2 linked regions of the Drosophila melanogaster genome follow. The gene in region 1 interacts genetically with each later gene. Each region holds a gene or a part of one and is shown on either strand. Other genes may lie near its edges. The genes, in order: cbc and tut.

Region 1 (12,043 bases):
AACCCAACAAAATTCACCGTCGATGTTTTGGCTAAATAAACATAACCAAAACCACTGAGAAACAACCAAACGAAATGAAACTAAACAATAAAGCAGATAGTGAAGTTAGCGAAAGGGCGAAGCAAGATGTGGCTCCTACATTTTAGGATATAGTTTACAACGCGTCGTTGTAGCAAAGAAGGCAAAGTGGCTAAGGCTGCTGGGAGACAGAACTGTTGCAGTCTCCGGATATCAATTATATGGCTAAATATTTAAAGAAAATAAATACCTATATTTTGTATGATTGTGTAAGTTGTAATATATCTAGACAGCAGTACTTTTACTGCGCCCAATTAACACATGTGCAAATGCCAAAAAGAAAGCAGAGCCGCCAGCCAGAAAATAGCTTGACGAAAGCTCAACTTACGTTTAAGTCCTGTAACCACCCATTGGCAATCGATCCATCCCACGAAAGACAGCAGATCAAGTGCGAGCGCAGTTGCCACATTCAGTTGAGGCCAGTATCTAAACTATCTATCTATTCATGTTACTCGTTTAAGTGCTTAGTTCTCTATACATCGAGGTCGTCCGATGGGCCGCGACATTCTAAATGGTGACTCATTTCAAAAAGCGCACTACCTACCTTGGACTAGGCCCATAATTTAAGTGCGTTTCGCGTGACTACATCTTATGCATCCTAATCCTAGCTGAAACCCTATGTTTGTAGCTCGCACGGCGCTGGCCGGCAACTTTATAGTTAAACTATTATGGATTATGTTTTATGTTGTACATGAAAATGGAGACGAAGCAAGCAGCAAGAACTAGAAATAAAACGAAATGCTATACGTATCTCAATGACATGTTATTTATTTGGTGAAGTTCATCCCGATTCTTATAAAAATCACGAGTTATTTGAGTGAATTGATTACTTTGAACCATTTGAGTGAAATTAACAATCTTGTCGAGCAAAAATATTTATTTAAAGCTAATTCTAATTGGTACAAAAAGGGGGATGTAACAAACTCTTTGAACTTTTCATTACGTAAACACTACAATGGATATACACAACTATTCAAACAAATAACTAAACTAAGCCTAAACTTCTCTTTTGGACTAAAATTGCCGACCCCGGTCGCAGATGTAGGCCATCAATGCCATGTCGCGCACCTCCAGTGTGACGCGATTGCGATGCTTGGTTAGCATGTAGGAGTCGGCGAGCCGCTGCGTCAAGTACATCTCGCACGACTCCTGCATGGCCAATAGGGCGCCTTCGGTGACCCTTAGCGGCTCGTCGTCGCTGTACTTCACGATGAACTCGCGCACTAGACGCGAGAACGGCAGCTTGGGTATCAGTGTGCCGGGATGGTGCTGCAGTCGCCGGATCTCACGATCCATTCTCTTGGCTCTGCTCATGGGATTGGCCGCTTTGCGCCGCCTGGTCTGGTTTTGCGCAGCAACTGGCCCTGCTGCTCGCGTTTTGCTTTCCTGCTGCACGGTCATTCGACGCGTCTGCGGCGATCTGGTTGTGGGATAGCGATTCTCCTGGTCCTCCTCCTCGCCACTGGTGGAGCTGTCTCTCGCTGCCGGCTGCCTCCGTCCGGCGTCCCTGCGCAACGTCGAGGAACGCCGATTGTTGTCCTGAAGCGTCAGTTGGCTGGTGGTGAATTCGAGGCCGTAGTCGGTGCCGTCTTCTGGCTCCGGCGAGCGGAAGGCCGTGTCGTCGTCGTTCGGCGACTTTGAGTTGTTCGCCGACGGCCTGGGTGCGCGCTTGGCTCTGCTGTGTCGTGGCATTTTCAAATTTTCGGTATTTGCTTAAAATATTTTTAAAGAATTCCCGCTTTTTTGGAACAGTGTGACCGTATAAAGCAAAGCAAATAATGCCCAGTACCGATACCGATTTGAATGGGCACTGACTAACTAAATATATTTCTAGCAGTTGAGAATTAAAATATGTTTATTTATGTGACAATTAATATTAATGGGAATACATGGTAATTGTTTAAAGACGTCCAGTACTTTAACTTATTTTGCAGTGATCATTTATACCCCTAGAAATCGATTAATTACTACTATACAGGTATCGATCAATTCCCATCGTTAGTGCACAGCTGATGTGAAATTGTTTACCTCCTAAATTTTTGGATAATTACCCTATTTCGCCATTAAAACTCATTAGCAGAGCACTGAAGATACAGCCATGTCGGAGGACCAAGGCAAAGACTACACACTGGAGTCCGACTCCGAGCTGCGCTTTGAAATCGAGCAGAAGGATGCCAAAGTGCTGGTGTCCGTAAGTAGTGCAAAAACCTTTTTGGATTACAATAAATTCGTTATTTATAATCAAATTGTTGATTTCAGCTGGTCAGTGGATTTGCGGAGCTGTTCGGCACGGAGCTGGTGAAGAAAAAGCAGTACGAGTTCGGCGTGGGCGCCAAGGTGGCCATCTTCACGTACCAGGGCTGTGTACTCCACGTCTCCGGCAAAATGGACGTGTGCTACATCTCCAAGGAGACGCCAATGGTGCAGTACGTCAACTGTCATGCGGCACTGGAGCAGTTCCGCATGGAGGCCGAGGAGAAGGATCGCTACGGACCAGTGGCCATGGTCGTCGGTCCCATGGACGTGGGCAAGAGCACTCTGTGCCGCATCCTGCTTAACTATGCTGTGCGCGTGGGTCGTCGACCGCTGTACGCCGACCTGGATGTTGGACAGGGCTCGATTGCCATTTCCGGGAGTGTGGCCACCATTCTCATCGAGCGACCGGCGAACGTTGAGGAGGGATTCGCCAAGACAGCGCCGCTGGTCTATCACTTTGGCCATAAGTCTCCCAGCGGAAACAGCGTGCTGTACAATGCCGTGGTTTCCAAAATGGCAGAGGTAACACTGCAATCTCTGAATAGCAACAAGCGAAGTAAGTTGGGAAGGTGTAACACATATCTTTGCACTTTTCAATACATTTTCCCGTTCATAAACTGCAAATTTCTGCATCTGCTTTTTGCAGCAAAAAGCTCTGGCATTATTATAAACACTTGTGGCTGGGTAAAGGGATCCGGCTACGCGCACCTGTTGCACGCGGCCAAAGCCTATGGAGCCTGTGCCATCTTTGTTCTGGACCAGGAGCGACTATACAACGAGCTGCTTCGAGATGTTCCCAAGGGAGTTCATGTGGTACTGCTGCCCAAGAGCGGCGGCGTCGTCGAGCGCAGCAAGGAACTGCGACACGAGGCGAGGGATCAGCGCATCAAGGAGTACTTCTACGGCAATACAAGGGCGCCCTTCTATCCGTTCAGCTTCGAGGTGAAGTTCCAGGACCTGCGACTCTACAAGATCGGCGCACCGCCGCTGCCCGACTCCTGCATGCCAATTGGAATGAAGGCGGAGGACAACAAGACCAAGGTGGTGGCGGTTACACCCACGCCCGCCCTAATCCATCATGTGCTGGCCCTCAGCTTTGCCGAGTCCGTGGAGGACGATGTGATTGGCACCAATGTGGCCGGCTTTTGTTGCGTGTAAGTGCTGCTGAACCTAAACTAGATATTATACTAGTTATATATGATTGTTATTTGATTATCCTCAGAACCGAAGTGGATATGGAAAGACAGGCAGTGATGTTGCTTTCGCCGCAGCCGCGACCTTTGCCCCCGAACGCCCTGCTCCTGTGGTCGGAACTGCAGTTCATGGATAATCATACCTAGCATTTGTAAATGCTCTGCTCTAGATGTAATTTAAGAAATTTTATATTAATGTTGGCGTTACAAAAAATACAGTTTAGATGTGCAAGTAGTAAACTTAAAGTTTTCCACAAGTTTAACAACTGAAATAACATTTAATAACATTTTGCAAAAATTAATTAAGTTTTGCTATAAAAGAATAGAACATATATCAAACAAATATTGTAATTTCTGAAAATTGAAAACTATTATAATTAATTATAACTATACAAGAATATAATATTCAGTATATGTATTGTATGTGTATGTATGTATTATTATGTGTTTCTTATAACCACTGAAAAAGGGTTTTGTAAAAATTGCATTTGAATATATTTGCAATGTGCATTTTTCGCCATTTGGTAAAATTATGTAATTCTATTCGAAAATAATTCAAACAAAATGGTGTTCTAAATTTTTTTAGCAAGGTGTGCAACCAAACGTCTACTCTACTTCCAGTATATTTTTGGTATATTTAGAACACTCAATTGGTAATATTTAGGCAAATTAGGTGCAGCCATACTGACGGCTGCGTACGTCGCCTCAGTGCGGTCACACTGTTCGAAAGAGCGAGACGAAAAACACGGCAACACGGCGGACGGAAAACTCAGTGAAAAGTAAATCAAATATTTACAAAACAAAGTAACCACAAAATGGCTGCGCTCGGTCGAATTGCGTTGGTTTAACAACAAATAGCGATGAAACGGCGACGATTAATACACTTTCAACGGGCATAAACCATAGATACTGTGGAATTTGTCGTGCTTTTCGTGTTTGTTGTGCAGCATGCGAGATGTTGCTGATGTTGTTGTTGGAATGTGTATCAAATGGTTCTAAAAACAAAACAAGAGATTTTCGGGCATCTAAATTTACGGCCTGCTTGAAAGACGTTCTGTTTTCCCCCAGTGTGTGTGTGCGTCTGTGCATGTGTGCGCGTGTGTTTGTGTGTTTTCTTCTCACTTGCTCTCTGTTGCTGCTGCATTTTCCAGCGGCAAACGGCGTTTGTTTTGGTTGCGTCGTGAAATTTTCCACTGGAAAGTGCAGCGCTGCGCCTTTCTGGGGGTTGCACACACACGCGCACGCACCGCAATTCGTCGATTGCCGGCTTGTTGCGCCGTAGAAGCGGCGGCAAAAGAGGTTCCCTAATTACCCAGAGTCACCTTATCACTTACAGTATTTCAATTTGGCGACCAGTTGATCGGAGGGGGTGATGGCGGTGTGGTGGCCCTCACACAGTTGCACAATTGCTTATCACTCGCTACTTAACGACAACAACAATTGGTGGCTCGCACACATGCAAACAAGACGATCACACTCGTCAACAAAGAAGCGGGAAACTCAATTGAAAGACTGAAATAACAACAACATAAGCAACAGCTAGCTTACACTACGCAACAAAAGTGCGAGCACGAGGAACTAAAAGTTATTAACTCACTAGTGATCAAAACTGAAATAAATTTGAATTGTATTGTAGTCATAACAGTTGAACCAATATTAATCTATTAAAAAAGATACGTAGAAAGTAAAACAAAAATCCTAAAACCTATTTACTAACAGGCATAACTCTGCAAATACTGTTGTAACTACAAACGAGAGTTCAAAACAAGGGTGTTATTTGATACCCTAGGGAGTGAAAGATTTTCGAGAGCGACCTGTTTTCAAACCTCCCTCTCCCTTCCACTTGCAGTTTTTCCGTGTGATTACCATGTGCGCCTAACAAAAGACAAACACGATCGGGTCGCGTCATCTGTTGTTTTTGCGCCAAATGTCTTAAAATTCCGGAGATAGTGCTTCCAAAATAAGATGGCTCTCGAGCCATACACAAAGTCTGCTGAAATCGAACCTCAATTGTGCCAAGTTATAGATAATAATGAAGATGTGACAACGAAAGCGACGAAATGCACGAAATCTAACAGCGGAGTGGGCTGGCGACAAATGCTGATCGGCTTTCTACTGATTTGCTTTGGCATCTCAAACAGTTGGCAGTACAAAAATGGTAAGTTCTGTGCTTTCATTTCGAACAAAGGGCAACGGTTTTGCCAAAGGAGCTGGGAACTGACAAGCATTTGATGGCAGTTCGATTAATTTGACGAGTGGCGAGGGCTTTGAGTTCAAAAAACCGCAGGGATAGACAGTTTGTAATGGGAATGGGGGTTCGCTGATATCGTTCCTCTACTTTCCTCAAAGGCTTTTGTACTACAGGTATCGCTCGCTAATGTGAACCAACGTAGTTGCGTGATTCCCAAGTGATTGAATTATAAATTGAGAGTGTTTAGTCTCAAATCAATATTTGATATTTATATTTATTGGTCAATATTCATTTTAAATAGTTAATTTAGCAAAATTTCAATATGTACATCAAAAATTACTATTCAGATAGAATATTTACTTAATAGTATAGTTCCTTATTTCAATGATTCACTGAATTTAAAAGCTTAAAATCCCATAGATAAAATATGAGTAACTGAACTGCATTTCAGGCATGTTGCCTGTTCGAGTGCCCACTGTATGCGTTTGTTTATGTGGTTTCAACTGCACTTTTGAGCTTCCCGCTCCCCGCCCCTCGCCCAGCCTTTTAGCCCCTTCCTTTGCCGCTTTGCGTTTTCCTTTAAGCTCTTTTTCGTGTTGTCAAAGCCCAAAGGCTGACAATTTCTCGGCGCAATGCTTTTATGAATAAACAACTACTACTTATTTAGACTGTAGTACGCACTCAACTTGATTGCACTGCGCATAATTTAGTACCCCCTTCTTCATCTACTTCTACTCCTACGACTACTACAACTCTGCGGCCCCACCAAACACTTTTCCACTAGATGCGACGCTAATGAGCTGAAAAAAGCAGCTCACTAATAATTCAGCAGTTGTAATATGGCAAAGTTGCCCGGTAATTGCCGGCATATTTCAAAATGCACAAAGCATTGACCCAGGCTCAAAAATTATACACTCAGAAAAATGTTCAGTTCTCATCAATTAAATCTTGTATAACTTGTACATTATTTAAAATCTAATGGTAAATCGATAGATCCACTCTATATGAACTGTTCTGTTGGGAATCATATGTAAAGTTAAGATATGAAGTCTGTAAGAGGAACTTACAAATTTCGTGGGCTGAAACAGTTCTTCTATAGATTAATATTGCATGACTCCTTGAAAGTTTTTCTCAGTGCAGCTTCAAAAAAGGGGCTCAAAGGACTGAAGTAGAAGGGACCTGCACGGGACAAGTCAATATGGAAATAGCAAATGGACAAAGGCCGTCCAAACATCGTTAAGCCCCAAAAACGCTCGAGTGTTTGGCTGAAAGATAAGCCTTCGGATTCTTCGTTTTTTTATTTTTTTTTTCCGGCTCTCTCCTTCAGTTGCAATCCGAAGTTTTTTCGGAGTCCGGAATTGCGAGTACTCCAGCATGCATGGGGGCATCCACAAAGCAAGTGCCGCCGCACCGAAAAGGAAGCCCGAAAACTTAAATTTGTCGAGCCGGGTGGGAGGAAAAAAAGCGCATCAAATATGTACACAAAGCTCCGGAAAAAAAACCCCATCTTCCATCATTCCCGGCCAGCTCTCTGTCGTGTGTGGGTGGTGTGTGGGCGGCTGGTTGGATGCTTACTTTCTTTAACACTTTGACGCGCGCACAAAGTGTTTTTTGCCAGCGTTGATTTGCCGCCCATGCCACCCATGCCATCCATGCCACCCATGCCACCACTTCCACACTACCCACCGGCCACCCAGTTCTTCTTTAAACCTTGTTCTTTTTTGCAGCTAACTGACGTTTTTGCGCGCTGCTGTCATGCCGTGTGGGGGATTCCCCCTTTTTTTTGGTCCCTTTACGTAAGCGCTATTTGCTTTAGCTTCTATTTACTACGCCGTAGTAACGCCAGTTTAGTAGTAATGGGAGCACTTCAAAGGCGACGGCGCCTTTGACGCCACATCCACCGCCCACTGACGGCATCCTGCCAGCCAGTCATCCTGCCATCCTGGCTGACATCCTTTGCGTCCCCGCGGGACACTCGACATTTCACTGTTGTTGACATTGATTTTGATTTCATTTATGTGTGCACCATTTCCACTTTCAACTTTCCAACAGCCAGCTTGACATTGGCTTAGGAATGTCAGTCAACACTTGATACACTTTGTCTTTCCTCGCGGGATTTGCCTAGGAAGCATTAGTCGCTAGTATTTCCCAATTATCCAATTAAAAATGCCCAACTCAATTAGTCATGCGTGAATTTCAGTTTATTCGTTGCAATTAAAATCTTAATTTGATGTTTAGCATACTATCAGAATGTTAACTATTGCATGAACTAGTTTAATTATATAAATGAAAGTGATTTTCATAAGTAAGCTGCCAAAAGAAAACAGTCTAAATAGCCTTTAGCAAAGAATCATTTCAAATTTACTGTCTGTAGAAAATAAGATTTTGGACAAAGATTAATGCAATTATTTTAATTGGGTTTCTATAATCTGTTTAAAGCTTTTCACAATCCGTACAATGGCAATTATGCCAATGTAATATGGTTATAATTCCCTGAGCTGTTTTACAGTTTAAAATCGTACCTAATTTTGCATAATTATAAACATACTAACACCAAATGAGCTCATGAATTGCAATTAATCAACTAAACCTTTAATCATACTATTCAAAGCTCGGTTAAACTTTCCACAACTGGCAGCTTGTTGATTTAGTTTGCTATGGAAATGCATAGCTGTTAAACAGCTTCCTCTCAGTTATTGCATCCGAATATCTGCTTAAACTTAAGCCCAATGAAACGCTTCAAACGAACAGCAAACACAATTGGGCTTTAACTAACCCAATCATCCTGGGAGCCATCTGCATTCCGTATGCAAACTGCTAAAACCAATGGCAAACTCTCGGTCCGCCGGCACAAATGTATCACTTTGCAATTTAAACAATAATGTTGTGGTGTGGTCAGTCTGGCGTTTGTGTAATGCATCTGTGTTGCATGCCCGGCAGTTCGGTTGCATCCACATCATCATCGCATCATGGCATCATCCTGCTCATCAACGCGACGAACGCCCTACTCCGACCACAGATTTGTGTGTGTGGGCGGGTTGGTCTGGCACTGACCTCTGTGTGTTGGCTGATACGGCTGTGCGTATTGCGTATATATTACACAGAGAAAAATAATCTAATTTATTAGTTTTATAAAGTTGGATTGGTGTAGAAAATAAAATGCTAAGGAGTTCCGAACTGATAAAGTGGCTGACTGCCTGTAGAAACATTTGTATTTCTACAGTTTCTTACTTAACGAAATGCTTAAAATATTTGATATAAATTCTATTTTCCTGTGCATCTGCTTAATTGGTTTTGGTATTGCCAACAAATTGGCTACCATATGCAGCGCGGTTGGCATATGCAAATATGTGTATGCAACTGCCACAAGTGCAACAACAAAACGCATCGCGAACCCGTCCAACTGCTTTTGGCCAACTTCTGCATCCTTCTTGCCGTTGCCGTCGCTTATCACTTATCGTAATCTTGTAATTACGTGTGTTCCACAAATGTTAATTGCGAAAAGGGAAACATTGATAGGCTAAGGGCATTCCCAGCTGGTTATCCACCATCTCGATTCACTCGCACTTCGGCCAGCACTCCTTTGCCGTTTGCAGTTTAAACGAGTTGTTCGCATGGCAAATCGTTAATTTAACGATTGTGTTTATTATTATTTTTTTTTTTAGGAACTCTCTTTAATAGCATAATAAAACCATCCAAAACTTAGACGGCTGTTTCATCGGGACTCTCGTCGTTCACGTCACTCGATAGACCTAGTTCCACTAAATGCAGGCTCACAATAAACAGGAAATATATTTCCATTGCTTGGGATGGGAAAAGTAATTAATGTGAAACGAATAATTTGTCTGCCCCAATATCTTACCAAATATGGGAACGAAAATCAAGGCCAATATAATGTGGGCATAGGCAAAGCACAGGGACAGAATAACGATCAAGTAGACGAGGGCCAAGAAGATCGATTTTAATATCCAAATCAATATGGGTATTATACCAGACTAATAACTAAGTGTGAGAAAGTAACTATAACTAACTTAACAATTTAGCTACTTACATTCACGCTCAATAGCAGTCCGATATCCGTCAAAAGGTCGACCAGCAGGACAAGGATAACCTGAATACGATTCTTCATCATTGTAACAGTGATTAGATCGTGGACATCGTCGCCGCTGTGTTTTTCAAAATACCAATGTCGAACTGAAGAAAAGTTAATGAAAATTCATTTAACGATCACAAGCAAATTGCATTTACAAACAGGCCCTGGGAAATAGAAGATAGTCAGGTGATAGAACAGGCGAAGTAAATCGATTATTACATAGGAACTTCCTATCACAACCACTCCAGTGCTGATCGAGTAGCAACAAAAGAATTTGTTTAGCAAAGCCATGTTAGAAACAGCTATTCACTTGAATTTTCTCCAACATATTGTCAGTTTTTGAAAAGCCATCATATCACATAGGTGAGAATAAAATAATAATACGACCATAATTTATCCAACAAGTTGCCAATTTAAAGGCACAAAACATGTCAGCAAGTAATTAAATTTCTATACCCATTTGCATATCTGCAGGCGCGCAGGCAACCCTGTTCTCCGTGCGCCTGTATGCGTGCGTATCTGTGTGTATGGTGCCACTTAACATAGCCGTTGGCTTTGGCCAACTAACGAACTGAACGAGAAACTGAAATAAAAACAAGGGGACTCCTCGACTCCGGAAACATTTAGGGATGTGGCGATGCAAATGCGACCAGCGCAGTCACAGGTGAAGTCACAGTTTTCAAGTGTGAACTATATAAAATATATAGAAAGTTTTAAGATTAGGCCAGCTGTATAATCTAAACTTTTATTAATAGTATTTTATGATCAAATATTCTAAAGTAATATAAGTAAAGTAAATGCTTATGGTTACTTTGAATAAACGATAGTTTCTGATTCCCTTGAGTTGCCCATCACTAGCTGGCATCTTGGCCGTGTCTCCCTTGCTAACAAGCTCCCCACCCGGCTCCACCATCCCGCTGCTCCTGGCCACCTTCGTCGGCCGCAGTGGCTGGTGGGGTTCCTTTTGGTTGCTGGTTGTCGTTGCTGCCTCCGCCGCTTTAAATGTCTGGGCGTTCGTGCGTTGCCTGCAACGCAGCAGAGCAGCGCATAAACATGCACATCGTTAAGAGACGAGACCGGGCTCAGACCCAGGCCCAAAATCATGGCCCAGACCCTTTTGGGCCGCCAGCAGTCCCCGCAGTCGCCCTGTCCCGGTCCCACTTGGCCACTTGCGACTCGTTTCCAAGCCAAGCCGGTCATTTAGAGGCCAGGCCCAGCATGCCTTCCACCACACATATCCGTACAATCAACAAACCTGGCCAGAAATGTTTTTCCTCTTTTTCTTCTTTATACCTTGTTTTTTCGGTTCTTTTTTTCTGGTTTTTGGCTTGTTTTGGCCTTTTGACTGCTCTTTGTTTTCGTGTAATTGTTCTGACTGCCGTTCTTGTTTACGTTTCATTGGCTCCCGAGTTTCCTTCCTTCTTATTTTCATATATATATATATATATTTATTTTTTTTGGCCAAAGATCTGAACTCCATATGGCGATGGTCGAGTCTCGGGTTTCGTTATCTAATATTGCTGGGAGGAAACATTAATTCGCAGCTCGTTGGCAGATCCTTCGACTTCATAGTCCAACAGCCAGCAGTCTCCCCGTTCGACGAATTGCTAATTTATTTCACTCTTGTACCTCGGAACACGCTTCCTATCTAGACGTTGGAAAAAAACCAATTTAAAGTTTATTTATGGCTTTTATTATTTTATACCCTCTCTATATTTGGCATTTTTCCTGTTGCTCTTTTTTTTTTTGCCTTTTGCAGCTGCCTCTTCGACTGGCGTTTGTCAATTTTTAACCTGTTGTGCATACTAATTTGTCCAGAGCTCGTTTTTTTTTTTATATCGTATTTGATTTTCCCCGGAGAGGGTATCTTCTCCATAATTTAAGTGACACTTTGGATGATTTGTGGGCCAAGCGAAAACGCCTCGATTGATTTTTTAATTAACTTTTGTCGAACGATAAATTAAGGCTGCTTATATATATTTTTTTTTCGTCTGGTTTGTATTTTTTTTTAGAAGATCCTTTAACTAAGCCAATCAAAACTTTGTAGACTGGCAGCCAGAGAAGAATAAAAATTCACTGGCTAACGCATAAATTAAACCACGATGCCGAATTCCAGCAATCTCCTGGATACATCAGCATCATTAGTTATACATAGGTAGAAAACAAGCCAAGTGAAACCAGAAAACCACAAAAACTAATTTATCACACAGATGGTTCATGCTAAGTTTTAAT
Region 2 (11,027 bases), on another chromosome or scaffold:
TGCCTTCACTGTGGCGCAATGGCAATTGGCAACCGATGTTTGTATGGCAACTGGCGAAGCAATAAAACCGAGCAAATGAAATTTGTATTCACTTTATATAATTTTGACGATTTTTCAAATCAAATACAGACGCACACACGAACCGCACATATAAAAGTCGGATGTGCCAGACATATATGTACATATGTTAGAAAGATTCCCTTTTTTCGAAACGAACACAATCATGTGCAAACGTGTTTTTCAAATGGATTACATGAATAAAAGATTTATACACGTAAGGTAAATCAGTAGCGCGTTACCAAGATACTAACCGACATCCTGCCCTACCCGTGCTCCTTCGTACTCCTCCATAGGACTCCTCCTTAGTACTCCTACCCCAGTTTTCCCCATCCACAACAACTCCCTATTCCCAACTGAAGACGTGCAAGTGAAAATATGCGCAGATGTAAGCAAATTTGAGGAACGACGGAGGGCAAAATGTGCTGGAAAAGAGGAAAACGCAAACGGAAAATCCCACAGAACCTGGCTAAAGGTAGATGATGCCTCTTGCCATTTATTGATTTGTTTATCATTTTATGTATTTATGCCGCTTTGATTTCAGGCGCCAAAACGAATCAAGCGCGAGGGAAAATAGAACATTGCCAACTGGATTATTCCGAGCACACACACAAACAGGACATGAAAATATTCACAGCGAGGTCTTTGAGTTTTGTATTTAGATAACATTTTAGTTGGCACTTTTCGAGTTGACAGTTATTTATTGCATTTCGATATTTGTTATATTTATACAAGGATTGTTTATTAATAATCTTAAAGAATTATCTAAAGGTGGGCCAATTTTCAATTTCAAAAGAAAGCTATAGATTTTAGTTATAAATCTAAGGAACATTAATTTCACAAGGGACACTTTAAATGTTATATTAGTTGTAGCAATTGCAATCACTTTGAGTAATATTTTTTTTACATTTACCAAACAAAAAAGTTATTAATTTCTTATACTCAGCTTACGTTTGTAAATCCAATCACACTGCTTCTAGTAAGTGGAACATTGCTGCCACTGTACACAAGCCCGGAATAGCTACAAATTCACCTAGTATTCCGGTTGGCCCGCAGCAGCAGGATTCACCGCCCTAGATACGAGTAGTATGGATACGTGGCGTATGCGCCATAAACCGGTGCATACGCATACGCCGCGTAGGCCGGATAGCTGGCATACGCCGGATAGTAAGCGGCGGAGGAGGGAGCCAGCCAAGAGGCACCCGCTCCGGTGGCATAACTCACTGGCGTCGTGACCAACAGCTGGGGCTTCGCCTGGCTCAGGGCCACGAGCCACAATGCGAACTGGCAGGATTATTGATAGGTTTGAAATATATCCACAAATCCATATATCCACAGTTCGGCGCACTCACCATCAAGACCTTGACCAACATGACTCCCATTCGATTACTGCTCCTGCGGACTGGCTGGCTGGCTGGCTGGCTTTGCGAAACGAAACTCAAAATTTCACTGCTCGATTGGCCGGGCTAGTCAATCATATTTATAGCCTTTGGCTGGAGGGCAGGGCATCGGATCACATCGGATCGGCCCAGAGAATCGTTGAGAACCGGGCAGAGAGTCGGAGCAGTTGGGCCATCATTAATATTGCTAGACCTGAGTGCGCTGAGTGGCATAAATTATATTCTTAATGCTATTTGAAATTGCCGAGAAAGAATAAATATAAGACAACGACTAATAAGCGTCTCAAATTGATGAAATTCCCGTGTACTCTGTCGGTCATAAAATGGTTATTAAAAAGTGATTGAAAAAAAATTATTTCGAAATTTTGATGATCAAGAAGAAAATACAAAGATGTTGTCATAAAATTGCAACAAACATAAATATACGATTAAAAATTGTAGAATTAATTTGGAAAGTAATCAGTTAATCCTTGCTTGATTTAGTAGAAGACTTAGAGTAATATGCAATAAGGAAATCTAGAACAAACATTTTATACATAACACTGATATAATAATTCATTATACAATAAAGGGGTACATGATTAACCAGTTTTATCAATTTAAAAACGATAAAGCTAAGATAAGAAATCAATGGATACCTATTCTTTCGATAACTTCCCTTTCGCTTTCGCAGCCTCAACTTTCTCCATATTTAGCACCATTTCCGGCTGCGTCACAAAGTTTGCCAAACACCAAACGATTCCGCAGCCGCATTTGATACCCTTTGTTTCACAATTGATGGCTAGCAGCGAATGTCGCGCCGCCTTCTTTGGACAGCCATTCATTACTACAGGTAGAACCGCCCTACCTGAGTCACCAAATACCCCTCTCTCCCAACCTCCCTCAAAAGCTGGCACTTTGCATAAAATATTTGCGTTTACTTAGACGTTGTAAAAATTATAATTATGTGTGCGTGCCTGACATGCATCCCCATGCATTATGAAATGGGGGATTGAAACGAAACCATATTTTGCGATCACTTCGCTTAGATAAGACCTATTCCCAATTCCCAATTGCCAATTTCCAAGGGTGACGTCTTGCTTAAAGCCTCCGGTCTAGGACACCACTGGCACTTTAAGCCATAACTGCCAGCTGAATTTGCAACCGGGCCAAAACATGGCCAACGATGGGCAGGGTAGCGAAGGGTAGCATCGTGCTTCGCAAGCTATAAATAATTAATTAATTCAGACGTAGACGAGTTTAATGGGTAGGGAAAGGGTAGGTGGGGGGAAAGGGGAGGTGTTTGTGAGACGACAGAGCGTTCTATGCAAATTTCCGAATATAGACCATAAATTCACAAGCCAAACGAAGCCCGATGAAGCCATCACTTATGCCCTACCTATAACTGCGCTCAGTGTACAATGTACCCTATATATACTGTACGCTTATGCTGCCATAATTATATATGTGTATATATATATCGGATACTTTGCGGATATTAAGTTGCGGCAAGTTCTCTGACCACCGATGGACTTCAATGGCGACCACGCCCAGCCAACTCGATGGAAAGTACTTTGGAAAACTGCTTTTAGCGACAGTTTTCGCTTGCCTTTTTCCCGGCTTTTTCTGAATTCCTTTTTTTTTTTTGCTTTTTGTATTCTTTACCGACTGGCTTTGCTGCTAAATCCCTGCTTGCTAACAAAATGTCTATTCTATTCTATTTTAACCCTGTAACGCAGCTTCCGTTTCTGGTTTTCGCAAAGCTGCAACGGAAACATTGCATAACTAAAAAATAGCTGCTGTTTACGAGTAGATTGTTTGTTTATTGTGTAGTCATCTCCAGCTTTGGTCCCTTTCCCCAACTCGCCCGTTCACTTTGTATCCCTGTCAGCAGTTCTTAATTTAATAAAGCGTAGTATTTAAATTAATTAACGAGCAGCGTAGCTCGCGGTGTAAACGGGCTTACACAAAGGTGCAAAATGATATCAAAAATCTGGTGCGAGAAAAGTTGCGGATTCGCAGGATGCTTTACTGGAACAGTTGGTCCTTCTGGCGGAGCAGTGATTTGAGATCCCGGGCCAGCTGGTCGTGTTCATCCTCCAGGCGATCGAGCATCTTGCTAAGGACTTTATGCGTGACGATCCCGTGACAGTTGCTCCTGCACAGTTCCATGATCTTGGCCAGGTGGACCATTCGCTCCCGCTGCAACTCCTCCTGCAGCTCAATCTGGTGGCGCATCTGCTGTAGATCGTCCTCGTCGTACGATAGCTTCTGGGCCAAGATGCTTCTGCGATAAGTAAGCCAGGTGTTCTGTAGACATGCCATCACCTTATGGCGATACCACTTGAGCGCCACCCTCTCGAATCTTCGATCCAGAGCCTGTAGTTCCCAAAAATTACGAAGCCCAAATTTCTGGAAGCAGGTTTGGAAAAATCTCAACCGTTTGGATTTTCCGCGCCAGCGTTTCAGACGCTCCAAGGCCTTGTAGGCACCAACTATGAACCCTCTGACTCTCTGTTCAGCTTTCATAGTATCCATTGAGAGATCAGGCATGTCCATCACATCCTTCATCGTGCCATCCGAGTTGTAGTATGCCAAGCACTGGACACGCAGCTGTTCTCTACGCATCAGCAATCCCTGAACAGTTGGGTCCGTAACGCCAATAGGAGAATGGCATTGGGCACTGGCTCGCTCGGCAGGAACATCCTTATGAATCTTCTTTGGCGGCTTTGGCGGCGGAATCTTCGATTTATATTTTGATTCGATTGTGTTTTTCAAACGTTCGGCCATTTCCTCAAAGCAATCCCTCAGATTTTTCACAGCACTTGATCGGCGGTTGACCTGATCTATGACATTGGTGATCTTGATGAGTTTCTCTTGGGATAAGGAACTGGAGGAATGGGTTCTTCCGCTGTCAGGTGCATCCCGATTGAATGTGGAGCTCGATGGATGCTGCTTATTTCTCGAGAGCTCATACTCCAATAGTTCGACTCTCTTCTTCACAGTGTGACTATCAGCACCATTTGGGGACTCGAAGCCAGTCCTTGGATAAACTTGGCTATCCTTCGAGTCAGAGGATCGCGTATTTGTTTTTCGTATTATTGTCACAATGCTGGCAAAACTACTGGTCGTAGGATCATTTTCCGATTGTTCGGAAACCTCCTTGATGGGTTCCAGTTTCCTGGGTCGTAAAATTTGAGTCGAGCACTTCTTGAGCAGTGTAGGTGATTTGCCAGTAGCTAACTTCTTACATGGCTGGCCTCTGTACTCATCCAAAATTACGTTCAGATTCCTACTGTAGTTACGCACATCCGTGAACGGTTCCTTGAGCACTCCAAAGTCCTTCAAGTGGCCATGCATGAGCAGCATCAGGCTATTTCGGGCCAACTTCTCGCTGAGAGGAGCCTTCTCGAATATCTTTATCCATCTGGCCATGATGGGGCGATCCGACTGCTTAGCCCTTGCCTGATCGGCATACTTGTAACTGGCTAGCTGCTGCCTGAAATGGCGATCCAGTAACTCCTCGCTTAGATCCTTCATGGCCACATTCGCATATTCAACCGGAATCAACTGATTTTGTTCCCAAAAAATATTTGTAATTTTAATGATTTGAATAAAATGAAACCGCTTACTCAAATCGGGTAAGGAAATGCGGAAATATAAGTGGGACTAGTGGCCTTACTCGGCGACTGTCACCAAACGTCTCTCAACCGCAGAAAGGGGAGGGGGGTCAAAAGTGGAGCTCAGGGTTTCTCAGAGATGCTTCAAGTGGTGGGCCCACGTCTGGCAACAAGCACAAGGAGCAGCGACACTACACTTTAAACAAAGAATATCAGAGCTTACTTTTCAAAGAACTTAATGGATTTTCTTGTCGAAACACTCTTACCTGGTGCGTCTCTACACTACGTGGACTAAACTGGACTTCACAGTGATAGCTTTTGCATTTACCACTTCATTTAAGAAAACTGTTGTGTATTAATCTAACAACATGTTACCTCCCACAAATAGTTTAATGTCAGTAATTTGCTTATGGCCATTTCGAAACAATGAATTATTAGTGTAACAGCAGTAGCAACAAAACAGTATGCGGTTGCCACGTAAATTTTCATTAGCGCAGCGCGCGTATAAATTAGGAAAATGAAGCAGCAGCAGCGGCAGCAGGCACTTGAGTGCACCGCAACCTCCATCAAGATGCCCCCTGGTGGGGTGAGTGGGTGGTGGAGTGGGTGGCGGATGGGCGGCTTAACCGCAGCAACAACAACAGCGAATGCGATGCGAACCTACATACATACATACATAGGTGCTGCGGCTTGTGGCGAACTGTGAGCAAAAGTTGCAAACGACCGACTGCCTGCATAAATTTATATTGTTAAACATGAGCTAGAAAAAAGCACGCGCAGCCTGTCAAAAGAAAGCAAAAATAAAGAGCAAAGAAATTGCCTGACATGCAAAAAGCGGTTTGGAAAAAGAGTAAAGTAAATGCATAAAGTACATAGCAAAAATAGAATACCTTCGTATAGAGCTGAGTTCGCAGCAATGCCAAAAAAAGACCTCTTACGCAAAAATATAATATGAAAACACTCTCTATTTTACACAAATGTTAAACATTCAAACAAGTTCATAAACAATAATAAGTTTATGCCCCTCCGTTACTTTACCTAAGTGTTAAGTATAAAGAATTTTACCAACTTCATTGACTATCTGGCAACGTCGCGAGCGTTGTATGTTTTAAAGCTTATTTGGTCACACTAAATCATTGGCATCTTAGCTTTTTTTTTTTTTTTTGATGCACGCGTGTATGCTGTGTATTTTTTTTTTTTTGCTATTTTTAAAATGGATTTCGAGAGCAAATACTGCACCAGTCAAGTAAATGGCACTATTACCATAACTACGCGCAAAGTCCTTGATGAAAATCTAAAATCCTTACTGGATGAGGGAAAGGGCGAGGTGAGTGTCTAGTGAAGCATCTAGTCTCAAAAGTTTACGGAGACACTAATACGTTTTTGCTTCTAGCTGTTTCTCTCGTGTATACCGAGGAATCACAGTTGTTCTCCGCGGTGGATTGTGGAAGTGGCCAGCGAACTGGGTGAAGTTTACATTATGCGCTATAAGATTGATTTTTCGGGAAATTCTCGCGGCTACGCCTACTTGCAATATATCAATGTGGACCTCAAGGAATCGGCAATGCAATAGTACGTACTTCGTAATAATTTTCACATAAAACAGCACTAACCCTAATAATCCCAGTCTGCCAATGCGATTCCGACAGCTTTGCATGTGCTTAAGGGTGGAGCCATCGACCAACAATCGCGAGCTGGTGCTCAAAAACGTAGAATCGTCGCTTAGACCATGGCAAGTGTACCAGGAGATGTTGAAGATACATCCCTTTACCATCGTTCGAGTCTACGAGTATCAATTAGACCAGTTCTTCTATATATTTGAGTACCGCAACAACGACTCGGCCGCAAGTGCCCATCAGAGAGTAAGGAATTCGATCAGAAAATTCGGTGAGCATGCGCACATCTCCTGGTTGACTGCGGAGAACATCTTGAGCAGAGCCAGCGGTAGCTTCTGTTTTCAACGGGAAGTAAGCCAAAATCGTACTCGACGCGTTCCTCCCAGACAAAAGGGCTGTTTCAAGTTTTAAATGGAAGTGGTATCAAGTATGTTACTTTATTGGTTCATGCTACCAAATCCATAAGGCTCCAAATGTTTTGTTTGTACTACACGTAAGTAGGACGAAAATGTATAAAATACTTTAATACTTTAGTTATATTTTTTCTATTGTTAAATAAGTTTATAAGTAAAATAAGAGTACTCTTAAATAAGTCAACCATTTAGATATGAATGAAGATGTTTATTGCTTGATTTGTGTAAGTTTTTGTAATACGTGGAATTTGAAAACAAGAATATGTGTTTTGCAAAGTTAATCTCTGATTTTTTAATGAAATTTTAAAGCCAAATATCAAATCACTTTTAGAATGCATACTATACCTTAAAAAAAAACTAACCAAGCGGATTTTGGAATTCCTGTGGCTCTCTGGGCAGTAAATTATGTTGCTGCCCATGCGAATGTAACATAAACTTTCACCAGTTGTTAGGACAGGGGGAAATTATACACAGCATTGTTCCTGGCAAATCCTTTTGGCCCGCCGCTTCTCACTCTGATGAAATGCAGCCGCAGCTTGTTGACTTCATTAACTCTGGGCAAAAACAGCGAGCAGCCATAAAAATAAAAAAAAATAAAAAAAACAACACCGACAGCGCAGCGAAGCTGCAGTTTTTCACATGCAAATTAATGCAGTGTCTTTGGAGTGGCGGAGTGGCAGCCAGGACTTTCAGGGCAATGCGACAACCTGCGGCATAATGCAATTAAATGAGTGCAGCGAGCAGGAGTCGACGCTAGCCTCCGGCTGGCATTGTGTTGGACACGGTGTCTGGGTACCGGGTCTGACTCCAGATTACGGGTCTCCAAAGTGCAATGATCGACGGACGGGAGTGGAGGGAGCGCAAGACATCCGTCAGGCGAAGGATGCACAGGACGCGAGGTGCGAGGGACAGGTCCGCTGCGCATTCTAATGCGATTGCCGCACTTGACGGGATGTCGTGGCAGGCGGAAACGGATGTTGTTGTCCTGCTCAGCTCTGCACGGTTGCAATTAAATTAGAGCCTCAAATCGAAATGCAGCCGTAACATGATGATGCAAAAATAAGAAGCGACTGGCATATTCTGGAAGCCTCATAAATATTCATTGAATTAAGCTTAAGTCGAGACATCCTCTCGGGGCATTCAGGGAAAAACAAGCCGAGCTGAATGTTTTCCAAAATCATTTGCATTAATTTGTTAATTCAAGCGCGACAGCCACGCCCCTGTTCACTCGCTTAAAGCCCATTAAAATTTCAAAGCCATGCGAGGGATTGTACGAGTCTTAACCCATTGGCAATCCCCGGCGCAAAGCACTCCTCCGCTCGCCGTCGAAGGGTTAAAGTCATGAAGCCGCATCTGTGACGCAATTACAAAGGCTCGAAGTTTGCTTCTAATTTTGCTCTACTTGCCATCATAAAGTCATCCGTTTTTCAACTTACAGATGGGAGCCAAACAATAGTTTCCTTTACTTTTTATATCCTTAAAATTCGCGAAACCAATGAAAAAACAAAGTTAAGTTAAAATACGTTTTATTTTATCGGAATAGTGAAGATCTTGGTAACCATAAGAATTGTACTTTACATGCTTGAAAAACAGAGATATAAAATATATATATTACATGATAGTCTTATTGTGGTGCCCCTGCTTTCCTGGTCACCACTGTGGTGTGACCCATTTTCGAGTCTGCGATGGAGGGCAACTCAGCCAGAGCTTACCTGGTTATTGCGGCAAGTGCCAATATTTGCCTTTCGATGCGAGCGGCAAAGAATATAAGGGGGACGTATAGTGTTGTCGAAGGAGCGGTACTGGGGCCCAAAAGTCAAGTGGGGGAGTAGGAGCAAGTGGGAGTGCCTGCCAACTGACACAGTTTGTTTAGGCTTTAAAGCGGTCGGTCCTTGGATTTGGGTCACAGATTGCCTGGGACAAAGGAGGCAAAGGAATGGGATTGGGGGGGTTCTGTCGCCGGAAAGCGAAAGTTATGCACATATTGAGTTCAAGCTTTAAGGGGAATGTGCCTGTACCCAATTTCTTGCCGCTTTCAGCTTTTTGAGTGCAGTTTTAGTTCCGTTCCTGGCCCTTTTCCATTTTCGTGCATTTCTCTAACCGCATCTGCAGCAAAGAGCATGACAGATGTGCATGATATAGCGATGTGGCGGAGGAGAACGTAGGAGGAGTTTGTGGCACTGGATACGGACGCGGATGTGGTAAGGTTGAGGATGTGGATGAGGGGTGGGGAGGGGATGGGAGGAGCCGCCAAACCTCTAGCACTTAACTCGAATTTTTGGATGATTTTTTAAGCAACTTGTCGTTGGCTTGGAAATGCCATTACCGACATGCATCATGAATATGGATGATTCTGCTTGTTTTTTCTGGGCCCCATCATCATTTCCATTCTCCGGTGGCTTTGGTTTAACCAGATGGAGTACGAAGCATGATTGGCGGATGGAAAGAATTCAATATGAGCTTTTGGTTCGTCTTTAAAAAGTTAGCAACTAGTTTGCCGATTAAATTTGCATGTTAACCAGACCTGAAACGCTGAAATGTTTTCATAAATGATGATGAAGAGCTGCAGCTGCAAGCATAAAAACCCTGATTAACTTTCGTTGCCAGCAAATTTAAAATATTTTATCAAAACAATTGTTTTTGTTTTAAATGAAAAGTAAACGCAAGTCCATTAACTTACAATTACAAGCTAACAATCATTTAAAACAAACAAACAGGATGTTTAAAGTTCCATTAAGTCAATGCTCTGCAATAGAGTAAAACAAAATGCTAAAAATGTTTGCTAATATAATTGTAATAAAGTAAATATATATTTTTAAATTTTATTTAAAACACATTTCAATTTGGAACGATTTGCATTAACATTTTTAATAACCATCCTTCTGATTTGAAGAGCACTTATCAACAATTCAGTACAAGCACTAAAGAATTACATTTTTTGTAATATTCTTTGACAAACTTTCCCTTACCCATCAGCTCATATTTTATTAATCAATTCAACTTTGTAGCCAAAAATTATGAAAATTCCCCCAGATGCTGCGTTGAAAGCAGAAGTTGACAATGAGTGCCGAGGAAGGCCAAAAGTGTCAGAAGTTAAAACAACACTTTTATTGACTTTTACGTAATGCCTTCCTTAGGGTTTTCTCTTTTTTTTTCGGTTTGGGACTAGCACTCTGGATTATACAAATTAATGAAAAAAGTTGTGGGCGTTACCCTGTCCGAATAGGATATACATACATATAGAAAACGCAAAAATATTTACTTTTCATAAGGCGAATGAAGACAGGACTTGGAGCAGGAAGTCGGTCCTTGAGGTCGTATTAAAAAATTGCCAACAGCAGCCGGTGGGAACTGTTGTTTCCGCTGGCAAATGAGTTTACGAGCGTGTCGTCGTGTCCTGGCTGCTTTGTTTATGCTGCATATTAAATAAATTTGACATCCGCCACGACAAGTCGTGCGGCTCTGGTTTTCGTCTTCGGAGTGGTTGTGGCAACTTTGCTTGTTGACAATAAAATAACATTTTGCACTCACTTAGCCCAGCTGGGCTTTTACCCACTTCTCTGGCCAAACTTGCCACTTGCCACCATTCGAGAATTTTAATGAAAAAACTTTTCCCCACTGCCAAGCATATGAAAATCGCTCATATTTTTGGTCCGGAAATTGGCATGCAATAGAGTTGATTTCGGTGCGCAATTTATTGTATTTACATACATACATATATACGAGAACGAGTACGGAGGCGGCTTCATTAAAATGTACACTTGATCATTGCTTGAATTTCTTGTGCAAACTTTCCATGGAGGAGCGTGCAAGGATGTGGCATAACAATATTACGCATACGCAACGTGAGCTGAGCTGAACTAAGGCTGTTGCTCCATCGGAAGCCCAATGGTGGCTGATAGCTGATTGTCAGCCGCTCGTGGCATTGCAAATCAATCAATA

The links.
Region 2: of cbc (region 1) and tut, changing one enhances a phenotype caused by changing the other (phenotypic enhancement), as found in Drosophila melanogaster (one study listed by BioGRID).

The regions. Positions count from the first base shown.
Region 1 is NT_033778.4:13,475,418-13,487,460, reverse strand, and holds cbc (crowded by cid), read left to right. Parts: upstream 1-2,069; 5' UTR 2,070-2,176; coding exon 2,177-2,269; intron 2,270-2,337; coding exon 2,338-2,890; intron 2,891-2,980; coding exon 2,981-3,488; intron 3,489-3,556; coding exon 3,557-3,674; 3' UTR 3,675-3,949; downstream 3,950-12,043. Other genes in the region: cid (centromere identifier), read right to left, coding at 1,093-1,770; CG43192 (uncharacterized protein), read right to left, coding at 9,421-9,521, 9,581-9,713, 9,770-9,912, 9,967-10,102; arr (arrow), read left to right, coding at 5,493-5,685. UniProt on the Drosophila melanogaster protein: Required for endonucleolytic cleavage during polyadenylation-dependent pre-mRNA 3'-end formation.
Region 2 is NT_037436.4:8,205,914-8,216,940, reverse strand, and holds tut (tumorous testis), read left to right. Parts: upstream 1-6,197; 5' UTR 6,198-6,269; coding exon 6,270-6,383; intron 6,384-6,449; coding exon 6,450-6,628; intron 6,629-6,683; coding exon 6,684-7,083; 3' UTR 7,084-7,364; downstream 7,365-11,027. Other genes in the region: CG8012 (uncharacterized protein), read right to left, coding at 1,123-1,341, 1,410-1,439; CG8006 (uncharacterized protein), read right to left, coding at 3,465-4,976. UniProt on the Drosophila melanogaster protein: RNA binding protein that forms a complex with bam and bgcn, involved in 3'UTR-dependent regulation of a subset of mRNAs. Preferentially binds a long isoform of mei-P26 transcripts.